Linked DNA regions of Sus scrofa. The protein of the gene in region 1 purifies or fractionates together with the protein of each later gene. This does not show direct contact. Links are inferred from orthologs where the notes say so. Each region holds a gene or a part of one and is shown on either strand. Other genes may lie near its edges.

What was found.
Region 2: the proteins of GIPC1 (region 1) and SH3BP4 purify together in Homo sapiens (affinity purification with mass spectrometry; 4 studies listed by BioGRID and IntAct, with this or other methods). This does not show direct contact. The link is inferred for Sus scrofa from reciprocal best matches to the Homo sapiens genes GIPC1 and SH3BP4.
Region 3: the proteins of GIPC1 (region 1) and ARHGEF12 purify together in Homo sapiens (co-immunoprecipitation; 4 studies listed by BioGRID and IntAct, with this or other methods). This does not show direct contact. The link is inferred for Sus scrofa from reciprocal best matches to the Homo sapiens genes GIPC1 and ARHGEF12.

Annotation. Positions count from the first base shown.
Region 1 is NC_010444.4:64,779,046-64,783,334, forward strand, and holds the start of GIPC1 (PDZ domain-containing protein GIPC1), read left to right. Parts: upstream 1-1,401; 5' UTR 1,402-1,512; intron 1,513-2,553; exon of another isoform or gene 2,554-2,649; intron 2,650-4,289. UniProt on the Homo sapiens protein: May be involved in G protein-linked signaling.
Region 2 is NC_010457.5:135,092,821-135,095,372, forward strand, and holds the end of SH3BP4 (SH3 domain-binding protein 4), read left to right. Parts: coding exon 1-221; 3' UTR 222-1,981; downstream 1,982-2,552. UniProt on the Homo sapiens protein: May function in transferrin receptor internalization at the plasma membrane through a cargo-specific control of clathrin-mediated endocytosis.
Region 3 is NC_010451.4:47,587,600-47,591,250, forward strand, and holds part of ARHGEF12 (rho guanine nucleotide exchange factor 12), read left to right. Parts: intron 1-544; coding exon 545-757; intron 758-3,651. UniProt on the Homo sapiens protein: May play a role in the regulation of RhoA GTPase by guanine nucleotide-binding alpha-12 (GNA12) and alpha-13 (GNA13). Acts as guanine nucleotide exchange factor (GEF) for RhoA GTPase and may act as GTPase-activating protein (GAP) for GNA12 and GNA13.

The DNA.
Region 1 (4,289 bases):
GTGGGCTGGTCCTTTGAGACTGAATACCCACTTCTCCATCGACAAGCATTGCCTGAATCAATCATTCCTCTGTTTGTTGCAAAATGGTGATTTTTTTCAAACACAGCATTTGCTTTTTCATGTCTTAGTTGGCATTCCAGAATTATTTCCCCACCCCCACCCCCTAAAAGGGGCAGAGGTAGCACTCAAATCTGACCTCCTCACCCACTGAGCCTCCTAGCTTCTTGAGCTATAAAATCAAGTATGTTGTGGTCTCTGCACGTGGGTGGAAAAGTAATTTTCTAAATTTAAAGCAAGGTGTAGAAAAGACAAGTATATTGAAGCAAGAGACACTGTTAACACATCAGGTCGACTTCCTGATATTCAGGGAGAGCAGACCCTGGGGGCATGGTTGTGTCTGTTTTTATAGCCCAAAGACAAAGAAGCGGTCTTGCCATACACCTGAGGACCTAGTGATTGGTTGGAGAAGAATGAGGTCTTCTGATACACTTGCTGGTTGGTTGGGGAAAGACAGGGTCTTTGGATACACCTGCTGGTAGTTTGGGGCCATATGTTGCCCCTAAAGGGGTGGGGTAAGGAGTGGGCTACATACCTTTTCTAGTGGGGGGCAGGAAGGAGTAGGCCAGGTTGATCAAGGGGAAGAGGTGAGGAGTGGGCCACATACCTTTCCTAGTAGGGAGCAAGAAGTAGGCCAAGTTGCTGGGGTGGGGAGGTCCTTACGAACATTGTAACAGTTACAGTGAGACAGGTGGGATGATAAGGGTTTGGTAATTCTTATCTTGGCTGGAGGCTTTTTGAATTTTATTTCCTTGGAGAAACTTTGAAGTCCCACAAAGTAGGAAGGAGATGCCCCGTGTTGCTCTGTGCCCCTGCCCTCACCCCTCCCTGGGCACTTCTTCATCAACAGGTAGAATCATGTGGATTCCGCTCAGGACTCTGCTGTGCCCACAGCCCACATACTGTCCTCTCCAGGTGTTTAGGAAGCAGCTTAGATGCCAGGCATAAGCAGGGCAGTGGACACAGTCCCAGAGAGGGCACAGGCCTAGCCAGAGGCAACTGATCGCTCAGTGGGCGTGGCAGAGGTCAGCAGAACAGGAAGAGAAGGACATTAGCTGTCCCTGTTGCCTCTGCAGTCTCGGTATTTGCCAGCTGGGTGGGGCTGCCTGGGCAGACCTCAGCAGCTAAGTCCAGGGCTCAAGCTCCCTTTTTACTTTGTCCTTCTGCAGGCCCTAGCAGGGCTGGAACGCTCAGCATCTCATCCAGGGAACTGCAAAGAGCCAATCGTTCAATGAGGGTTGAGAAGTTAGGTCTCCAAGAACTACAATTCCCAGAACACACAGTGAACTACGGTCCAGCCCCAGCTGCCTGAGTGGCTGGCTTGTTCCTGGAACAAGGGAATCTCACCTGTCCTGGGAACTGAGCTTCCTGGCCTGGGCAAGTTGTGTTGGTATCTTTGTTTCTTGGACCTGCTCCTGCCTGAGAAATCCTGGTTACAAGCCAAACCTGGAGATGGTGAGATTACCCAGTTCTTTTACCTACACATATGTACGGAGACCCTGCTCTGTGCCAGTCTGGGGCTGGAGGTGGGGGTAGGGAGGCGGAGAACAGTCAGATGTAAGAAACTGAGGACAGAGGCTTGGGTTGGCTGGGTATCCCTTTGTAATCCAGCACATAGTATGTGCTCAATAAATATTCGCTGGTCAACCAACGAGCGAACAGGGCATCTTGCCCTTTCACCCTGCTTTGCTAGCTCCTACAGTACTGTACTCTCCTAAAGCGTGCTGTATCTTTCTGTCCGCCCTCTAAGTCTTTGCACGCGCTGTTCCTTCTACCAGGAGCACATTCTTTCAGCTTACTCATCAGTGTGTCTGTAGAGATAGGACAGAGACTGGCACGGACCAGGGGCACATTAAATATTTGATAAGTGGATGAATGAATGAATGCCCTTGTCCATTGTCCATCCAAGATGCAGGGACACTCGGGACCCTCCCTATTCATCTCAGTCTCCCGCCTGCCCGCTCGGAATGAATGCGTGTTTTTATCCACCCCGAGGATGGCCACGCAGGGGCAGGGGCAGGCCGGGCGGAGGACTGGATCTGAAGCTGCCCTTGGCTCCCTCCCGGATTTCCTAGCGGGTCCGTTTTCTGGACTTCGGCAGTTTTCATCCTCTCTGCGAAACTCAGTCTCGGTCTCCTGACTCCCAAGACTAGCCCCCAGCTTCTTACCAGCCACAGCACCCCACCCGGACACTCAGCGAACAGCACGTGGTCCAGGAGTCCCAGCTTTCCATTGGCCACTGGCCTCCTTCCTTCTCTGAGATTGGCCGGGGCCCAGCCGCAGCTCCCCCCTCCGCAGCCTTGCGGTGGTACAGCCCGCCGCGGCTTAGGAGGGGCGGGAAGATCCAATGCTCCGTGGCGCGGGGGAGGTGTCGTGAAGAGCCGGGCGAGGCTCAGGGATCCCTCTGGAATGTTTCCTTCGGTTCCACCCGGAGCGGGGGGCGTGGAGCCGATTGGCCGCGAACGCCGAGCGGCCGCTCCTGATTGGCCGGACGCGGGCACAGGCCCCGCCCCCTGGCTGTGCTGCTGGAGAGGCCCGGGCCAGAGTTTGCCGAGGGCCAAGCAGGGCGCGCGCTGGGAGGCGGCAATGCAGGTGAGTGTCCCCTGCGGGCGGTGCGCATCGCGGCGGCTCGAGGGACCCTAGCGCGGATCCGTGGGATCGCAGATCCACGGGGATCTGGCAGGTCCTACGAGGTAGGGCCGGCCCTATGGAACGAGGCTGGAGGTCTAGACTAAGCCAGGGGGTGCCGGAGGCCCCTCCCCAGCGGGCCGCCTGCCTTCCTGCCGGAGGAAGGAGTAAATGCCTCCCGCCGCCGGGATGGGCTCTCCAGCCGCATCCCACCTCCCTGCACTCTGGACAGTTCCCGTCCCAGAGGGGACAGGAGCGGGATCGGTATTTCTGAGCCCTGCCTGGGCAACTCTCCACAGCTGGCCTTTCTCAATCTTCCTGGGCCTAAGGAGGCTTGGGGAGGACCGAGGTCCCGATAAAAATAATGAAAATAAATAACCCGGCTAGCATTTATTGAGCACTTCCGTGTCAGCTATTTACCATGCCATATTTACCATTGAATCTAAACACCTCATGGAAGGTGCTGTTGCTTCTTTCGGAGCTGAAGCGGTAGACCCAGAGAGCTAGAGTGACTTGCCCAAGATCACACAGCTAGTGAGTGGCAAATCTGGGACTCAAACCCATGCCTTAGAGTCCAGAACAGGAGTCTCAACCACTAGACTAGATGCCCAGTGGTTCCAAGGCTCAGGTGTTTCTGACCAGCTCCTCCCACTCTACCCCCTCCAACCAGACATGCCATCTGGGCCACACCCGCTGGTCTTTGCTTTCACCAGCTGCTCAAACAGGAAGCTGCCCTCATGTCCCTTCTCCCCTAAACTGGAAAAGGCAAGGACAAAATATCAGGGTCTTGAGAAGAAAGTGACATCTGAAGGAGAGGTAGATGGGGGTGGGGGAGGCAGCACGGTGGGGTCCTGTGCCTGCTAGGCCCTCCTGGGAAGCCTGGGCCCAGGACAGTAGGCGTTCTCCCCGGAAACACCCAGGAGCCGGTTTTTCAAGACTGAATCAGAGGCCTCCCGGCTTCCTCTCCCAAGCAATACCCTGCTGAAAAGGGGAGCCTGGGTGTGGTGTTTCCCCACCACCCCCTACAGCTTGTATGAGCTCCCAGGAACCCCCTTCCCCACTTCCTGCTCCCCTCACTGCAACTCTGTATAACTATGGCTTGTTGAGTTTCATGCCCTTCCCAGAGAAAAGAGGGTGGGGATGCTGGGATTCCAGCGAATGTGCTCAATGCCCTGGGCTTAAACTCCTTTTCCTCTGTCCCTGTGTTAAGGTTTGAGGGGAGACTAGGAACATGGTGAGGAGGTGGCAGCTAGCAACTCTACAGTGGGCATGTTCTGGGGATAGAGGGGCTCCAGAGAAATCAGAATGAAGGGTTTAAGACACATTCATTCATTCTACACATATTTATTGAGCACCTACTATGTGCCAAGTACTGTTCCTGGCACAGAGGATATAATAGTGAACAAGACAAAAATCCATGCTTATGGGGAGTTGCCATTCGAAAGGGGGGAAAACAGGCAACAAACAGTTTAACAAGAAGATACTTGCAGAGGGTAATAAGTGCTTTGAATAAAATACAAGGGAGTGGCATGGTAGAATCTGTAGGCAAAGGGGGGGCTCTTGGAGGAGGCAACTTTTGAGCTGACGTCTGGATGACAAAAAGA
Region 2 (2,552 bases), on another chromosome or scaffold:
TGTGGAAACCCGCGTATGACTTTCTACTCACCTGGAGCCACCAGATCGGGGACAGCTACCGCGACGTCATCCAGGAGCTGCACACGGGCCTGGACAAGATGAAAAACCCCATCACCAAGCGCTGGAAACACCTCACAGGGACGCTCATCCTGGTGAACTCCCTGGACGTCCTCCGAGCAGCCGCCTTCAGTCCCATGGACCAGGACGACTATGTGATTTGAAGGGGTCCCTCCACCTCCTGCTGCTCACGGGGCGGGCCACTTGCCCTCCGTCTGCCCTGGACGCCCCGCAGTCCTATGGAGCTGGGGGTGGACAGGGAGGGTCGGCTGCTCCCTTAGATCCAGGGTCCCTCCCGGCTGGACCCGCACCCCGGACCAAGCACATGCAACGCTCCACTCACCGCCTCTGTCACAGGGGAGGGGCCGTGGGAATTGCTACGGCAGGTTGTTGCCAATCAAATAGCTTTCTATTTGTTAATTATACCTTGAGATTTAAAATCACTTTTTTTTTAAAGTATGGGGGGCTAGGGGCCGATGAGAAAGGTGATACCTAATTTTTTAATGGACCATAAAGATTTAAAAAAAAAAGAACACTTCATAGGGGCAGATGCTGTTGAGGTTTTTATGTTCTCGAAAGACCTTTTTAAATTATGTTCCAGATGTATATATGTATTTAAGGGTCGTGGGAGCATTTCTAATTGCCAGGCACACTCGGCATTTCAACACTGAGCTCGGAAAGACACTCGTTCAGGCGTTGGGCCGTCTGGGGTCTGTACGGAAAACGAAGTCAAACAGGAACCGTGCTGTTTCAGTCAAGAGTCTGGTCCTCACCCATTCTTCCCGAGATCATCCTAGGCCTGGCTTTCCTCGTGTTTTTATTTACCTTCTGTACATCGGCCCCGTGTCGCAGGAAAGGATCAGCCACAGCACAGGGGAGGCTTTTTTGAGCTTTAGCGGCCAGAGGGAAATCCAGTTTTATGCCCTTGAGACAAGCGGGCAGCGGGCAGGCAGCCTTCTCTCCCGCCCTGCCGGGGGCCTTCAGTCCTGCAAAAGAGCTGCACCATTTGGAGGGAGGGGGTCCCCGAAGCTCTAAAGCCACTGTCCTGCTTCTCCCTGGAGGCAGGGGGAGTGCTTCCTGCGGAGCTCAAAGCCTCGCCTCCGGGTGTGAAGAAAACGCCACCCCACATGCACCTAATGCTCATGGCCAGGGGTGTCCGCTGCCGTTTGCCAAACTCCATTTCACCTAAAACGTCACCCCTCTGGCCTCCTGGTGTGTCCATCTTTCCTTGGACGTAAATAGCATAGGGAAGTCTCTTTTAAAAAAAACACTGTAACGATTACCCAAGCAAAATGAATGTTTTCTGAAAACATTTCCCGCATACAGTGGGGCCCACTGAGTTCCCAACGCTGGTTGCAGATCCGCGTGCTGGGCTGAATTCCGGCTGCATCGCCAGGAGGGAGTGAGGGGCGGGGCTGAAGACTCCAGCGGATCTGAGGAGTCGATCCCCAGGAAGGAGCCAGGACACGCGCTGTGCTCACCTGAGGGATGCTAGGCCATCTGGAATCCCTGAATGTCATTCCCTCTGTCCGCTTTCTGGAGGCCTGTTAATTACTTAGCCTCATTGATGTAAATGCTCTCTCAGGCAGCAACACTCTTAGAAGGCTGTTGATTCAGATACTGAAGACCAACTAGCTAGAAACACCCACGAAAAGAGCCCTGCCTCGTTTCTTCTGCAGGAGCCTGGACACACACTCGGCCGATCCTCACCCAAAGTCACCTGACCTTCTGCTTCTTGACTCTCCGCCTTCAGTCTTCCCAGAGAGCATCTCTCACTTTCCCCCCAAAGAAGAAACCAAACCAGTCGCACCTTAAATATGGATATTTTTCCTCAGGGGCTTTAAATTGTTTCCTATGCAACATGTCTTGTAGCACAAAATTCGATTCTACAAAAGTTGCAGTAAATTTTCTTTGGATATTTTAATTAAGTGTGTGTATGTTCTTCTGTCCCCACGCAGCCTCTAAAGGAAACACAAACAAAACGTGGCGTAACTCTTTGCGGAGAACAGTGCCCCTGCCCCCACACCATTGCCCCTGGATGATGGTGGCACAGTTGCTTTCACGGGTATCTGTTGTCTAGCTGTTAATTTCATTGCTCTTGAAATACACGCTCTCAGCCATCACTGACTCATGGGAATCAGTGTGGCCCAGCGTACCCAAAGGGTGCAGGTGGGTGGCTTGCCATTTTCTTGGTCTCTTGCACCTGGAATGGGCAGATCCCAAACCCGCAATACAGCTGAGGATGGAACCATGGCTGTGCGCCAGGACTCCGTTGCTAGTGAGAGCCGGACTCCCCCAGGCCCTGCCCCCACCGTGCCCTAGGTATGGGGTGTAGCCCAGGGTGAGAAGGGACTGGGGGCGGGTCCCTGATGGAGACCAGGTGCTGGGAGGAGTGGGGCCAGGAGGGCCTCCTTGAGAAGTGACTTGAATCCAAGCTCCAGGCTGCCTCGGCACCAGCGAGCCCAAGGCCAGGCCACCCCTGGGGGAAGCTGTGT
Region 3 (3,651 bases), on another chromosome or scaffold:
ATGAGCAGGATAGAGATTATTCTGCGTAGTCTCTGAGGTGTACTGTGATGATACAGTTGTGAGTGTTGGGGAGAAGTTTGCTAAGAACTCACAGAGCTAAAAGGCTTCATCTTCAGTCATAGAAATGAATACAGCTTCATATGTGTCTGTCTCTTGGAACCTCCTCTTCCCCCACCCACCACTGCTCTCCTCAGCTCCTTTTCTCATGACCCTTCTTCCTCTGCCTCTTCTCTCTCCCCCTTGTCTTCTGTCATCACCCACCCTTTTCTCCTCATCCTCCTCCACCTTCCCTGCTTTTCTCTCTCTCTCTCTCACTTTCTTTCTTTCCTCCTTTCTTCCTTCTCTTTTCTCTTTCTTTTCCTTCACTTCCTCCCTTCCTCCCTTCCTTCTTATTTGTACCTATCTGTTCCTCACTCTGTGGAATAATTCATGTGTATTTTTGTAGGGCCCACCACATTCCAGATATTTTTCTGGATTCTTTTCATTATCTTTTCTTTTTTGGCTATTTTGCAACACAAATTGTTAACCATTACTTTCTGTTCAGTTGGCAGAGCCATGGAACTACAGAAGCAGCGCCACCCTAAGCATTTAGCCACACCCTCTTCTGTGAGTCCTGAACCTCAAGATTCTGCTAAGTTGCGCCAGAGTGGATTAACAAGTGAAGGAACAGACGTTGGATACCTGCCAGCCAATTCCACGTCCTCTGTGGTTTCAGGGGCCACTCTTTCCCAGGAGGGAGGGAAAGAGAATGATATGGGTGAGCTAGTGCTGTATTTCAACTTAACTAAGTATCAGGATTTTAAAACAATTACACTAAGAATAGAGTGGCAGCTTATTTTAATCAAGACTGAGTCTTAGTTTAGTTTTAACATTTTAATATTTTATAACTAGTGACAAATCTATACTGAATGGTAGTAATTTTGAGTTCTCATCCATTCAAAAAATATTTATGGAACTCTCTGTCAGGCACTAACATTGTATCAGAAGTTAGTATACAATAATTATTCATGAATTCTTGCCCCATGCAGCTTAATCTTCTGGGGAGACAGTCATACAAATAAAAAATTCAAATTATGGGGAGTGTTGAGGGGACTGGTCAGTAGCTAGAGGCAGATATGCATATATGGGGAGGGGTACATCTACAGAAGCATTTTTTTAAAAGCTGAAATACTGGAGTTTTCTTTCTTTCTTTCTTTCTTTTTTAATACTAAGGGGGAGCCAATTGAGAGGAAGAGATTAGAGAGTGAAAATGCAGGAGGTAAACTACATAACCAATAGAACAAAGTTTTGAGAAGGAGAGAAGCAATGAGATGCAGAGTGTATGTGAAGGGCGAGGTTATTAGCTGAGAGTGAGGGTTTAGTGAGAAGAGCAAAAGGATTTGAAGAGTAAAGAAAAATAGGAAATTATTATAGGTAATTGAGAAAAGAGCTTATTATTATATTCATACTTGTTGTAATGGATTTCTTTTTTTTTTTTTTTTTTTTTTTTTGTCTTTTTGCTATTTCTTGGGCCGCTCCTGCGGCATATGGAGATTCCCAGGCTAGGGGTCCAATTGGAGCTTTAGCCACTGGCCTACACCAGAGCCACAGCAACGCGGGATCTGAGCCGCGTCTGCGACCTACACCACAGCTCACGGCAACGCCCGGATCCTTAACCCACTGAGCAAGGGCAGGGACCGAACCTGCAACCTTATGGTTCCTAGTCGAATTCGTTAACCACTGTGTCACGACGGGAACTCCAAGGATTTCTTAAGCTAAAGTGAGCTGGGTGAATAGACCTGATTATAGTGGTGATTTTGGAAGCAGTTCAATTTCTGGTATGACAAGATCAAGGATAAATCTGTGAAAGTGGTCACCGAGGTGGTATAGGGGAGGTTACAAGAGATGATGGATGTAAGGAACCAAGGAGCCAAGGATTTGAATATCTTTATATACACAGATTTTGAGGTCACCTCATGTTATAATATCATGGAGAGGAAAATGGTGAGTCAGCAGCCAAAGGTTCAGGGTTGTTAGATGCTTGTTGGTAGGGGGAGATGTGGTATTATGCAGAAAGTGAGAGCCTCAATGGAGCAAGGGATTTTTATAGGAGGGTAAGATAGTAGCCTAAAAGTAGCACTGAAGAAAAAGAAGGGTATCTATCTTGTCTCCACTCTGTAGTACATAGTACACAACTGAAACATCAGTCTCTGTTTGAGATGGCTGTAGCAGAAGAGGTGACCTTCCATGGGATAGGCAAGTTTTAATTTAAGACAAAAAAGTAAGGGTGACAGTTGTAGAAAAGTCTGTAGGCTTTGCCTTATGTGGAATTCTGAAGGTGTTGGATTGAGTAATGCATTAATTCCTAGCTCTCATGTCTCATTGAGATGAAACCATAAAGAGAAAGTAAGTGGAAGAAGAGAAGATATCAGTCAATAAGAAATTGGGGCGCGGGGAGGATTGAAAGTGGGCAACTGTGATTTGATAGATAAAACAACATAAAGTGAGAGCCCATAATTTGTTTGGGTCCATGATGGGAGCCATTCTTCCCTTTAGAACTCAGGAGAGACTTTGGGCTCAGAGTTGGGATATGTTGTGGAGTACGAGTAAGAAGTAAAGCTGAAAATGATGAATTAATTGAAGATCTGTAATCAAAACAAGTATACCAGCAGCTTCTGATCCTTACGTTGTAGGATATAAGCAATCTGTCATTCATGCATCCGAAGAAAACAGATGTGCTCTTTGTTATACAAGGCGGAAAGAATTGTGTAGAGAGTTAAGTCCTCCAGGGGATTAGTGTCCTGGAATTCATCGAAGGGGTTCACCCTAATCAGAGGAGCTCCCAGCTGGGATGGACCTACTTCCACATAGCAGAACAAGAAAGCCCAATCAGCTGCCCATTTTTGCATTCTTACATACCAATAGCATTACTTTCTTTTGGCAAAAGTTAAGAGTCAAGACCTAAGATAATACATAACGCCAAACATATTAGTGGCATTAAAAAGAAAATAAAAAATAAACAGAAAAACTGCCAGTAGCAGAAAATAATTTAGATAATAAATGAGAACTTATGGAAATACCTCTAAATTAGATAGTATTCTTGAGGAAATTAATGAGGTTATTATATCTAAAGAACACATAGGATGCTCTGAAAAAGGAGCAGGGACCAAAAAGTTTTAATGTAACTATTATGTGTAATAACTGTTTTAGTAGTCATCAATTACTTTGCGATAAATTACCCTAAAATGTAATGACTTAACACAAGAACATATTTACTGCTTCTCATTTTTCGGTGGGTAAGGAACTCCAGGGCAGCTTAGCTAGGCGGTTCGGTCTCAGAGTTTCTCATAAAGTGGTGGTCAGAATGTCAGCCAGCTCTCTGAGAGCTTACTTGGAGCCAGGAGACCTGCTTGTGTACCTCCACAGGTGGCTGGTGGCAGGAAGACTTAGCTCCTTGCTGGGGGCCTTGGCTCCTCATCACATGGGCTTCTCCATAGAACTGCTTGAGTGTTCCATGACGTGGTAGCTGACTTTCCCCTGAGTGTTCCAGAAAAGATAAAGAAGCCTCAGTGGTTTTTATGACTTAGTCTCTATGGATACACACCATTATTTCATCAAGGTAGAAGCAAGTCACTAAAACTAACCTACCCTCAACGAGAGAAGGATTAGGTG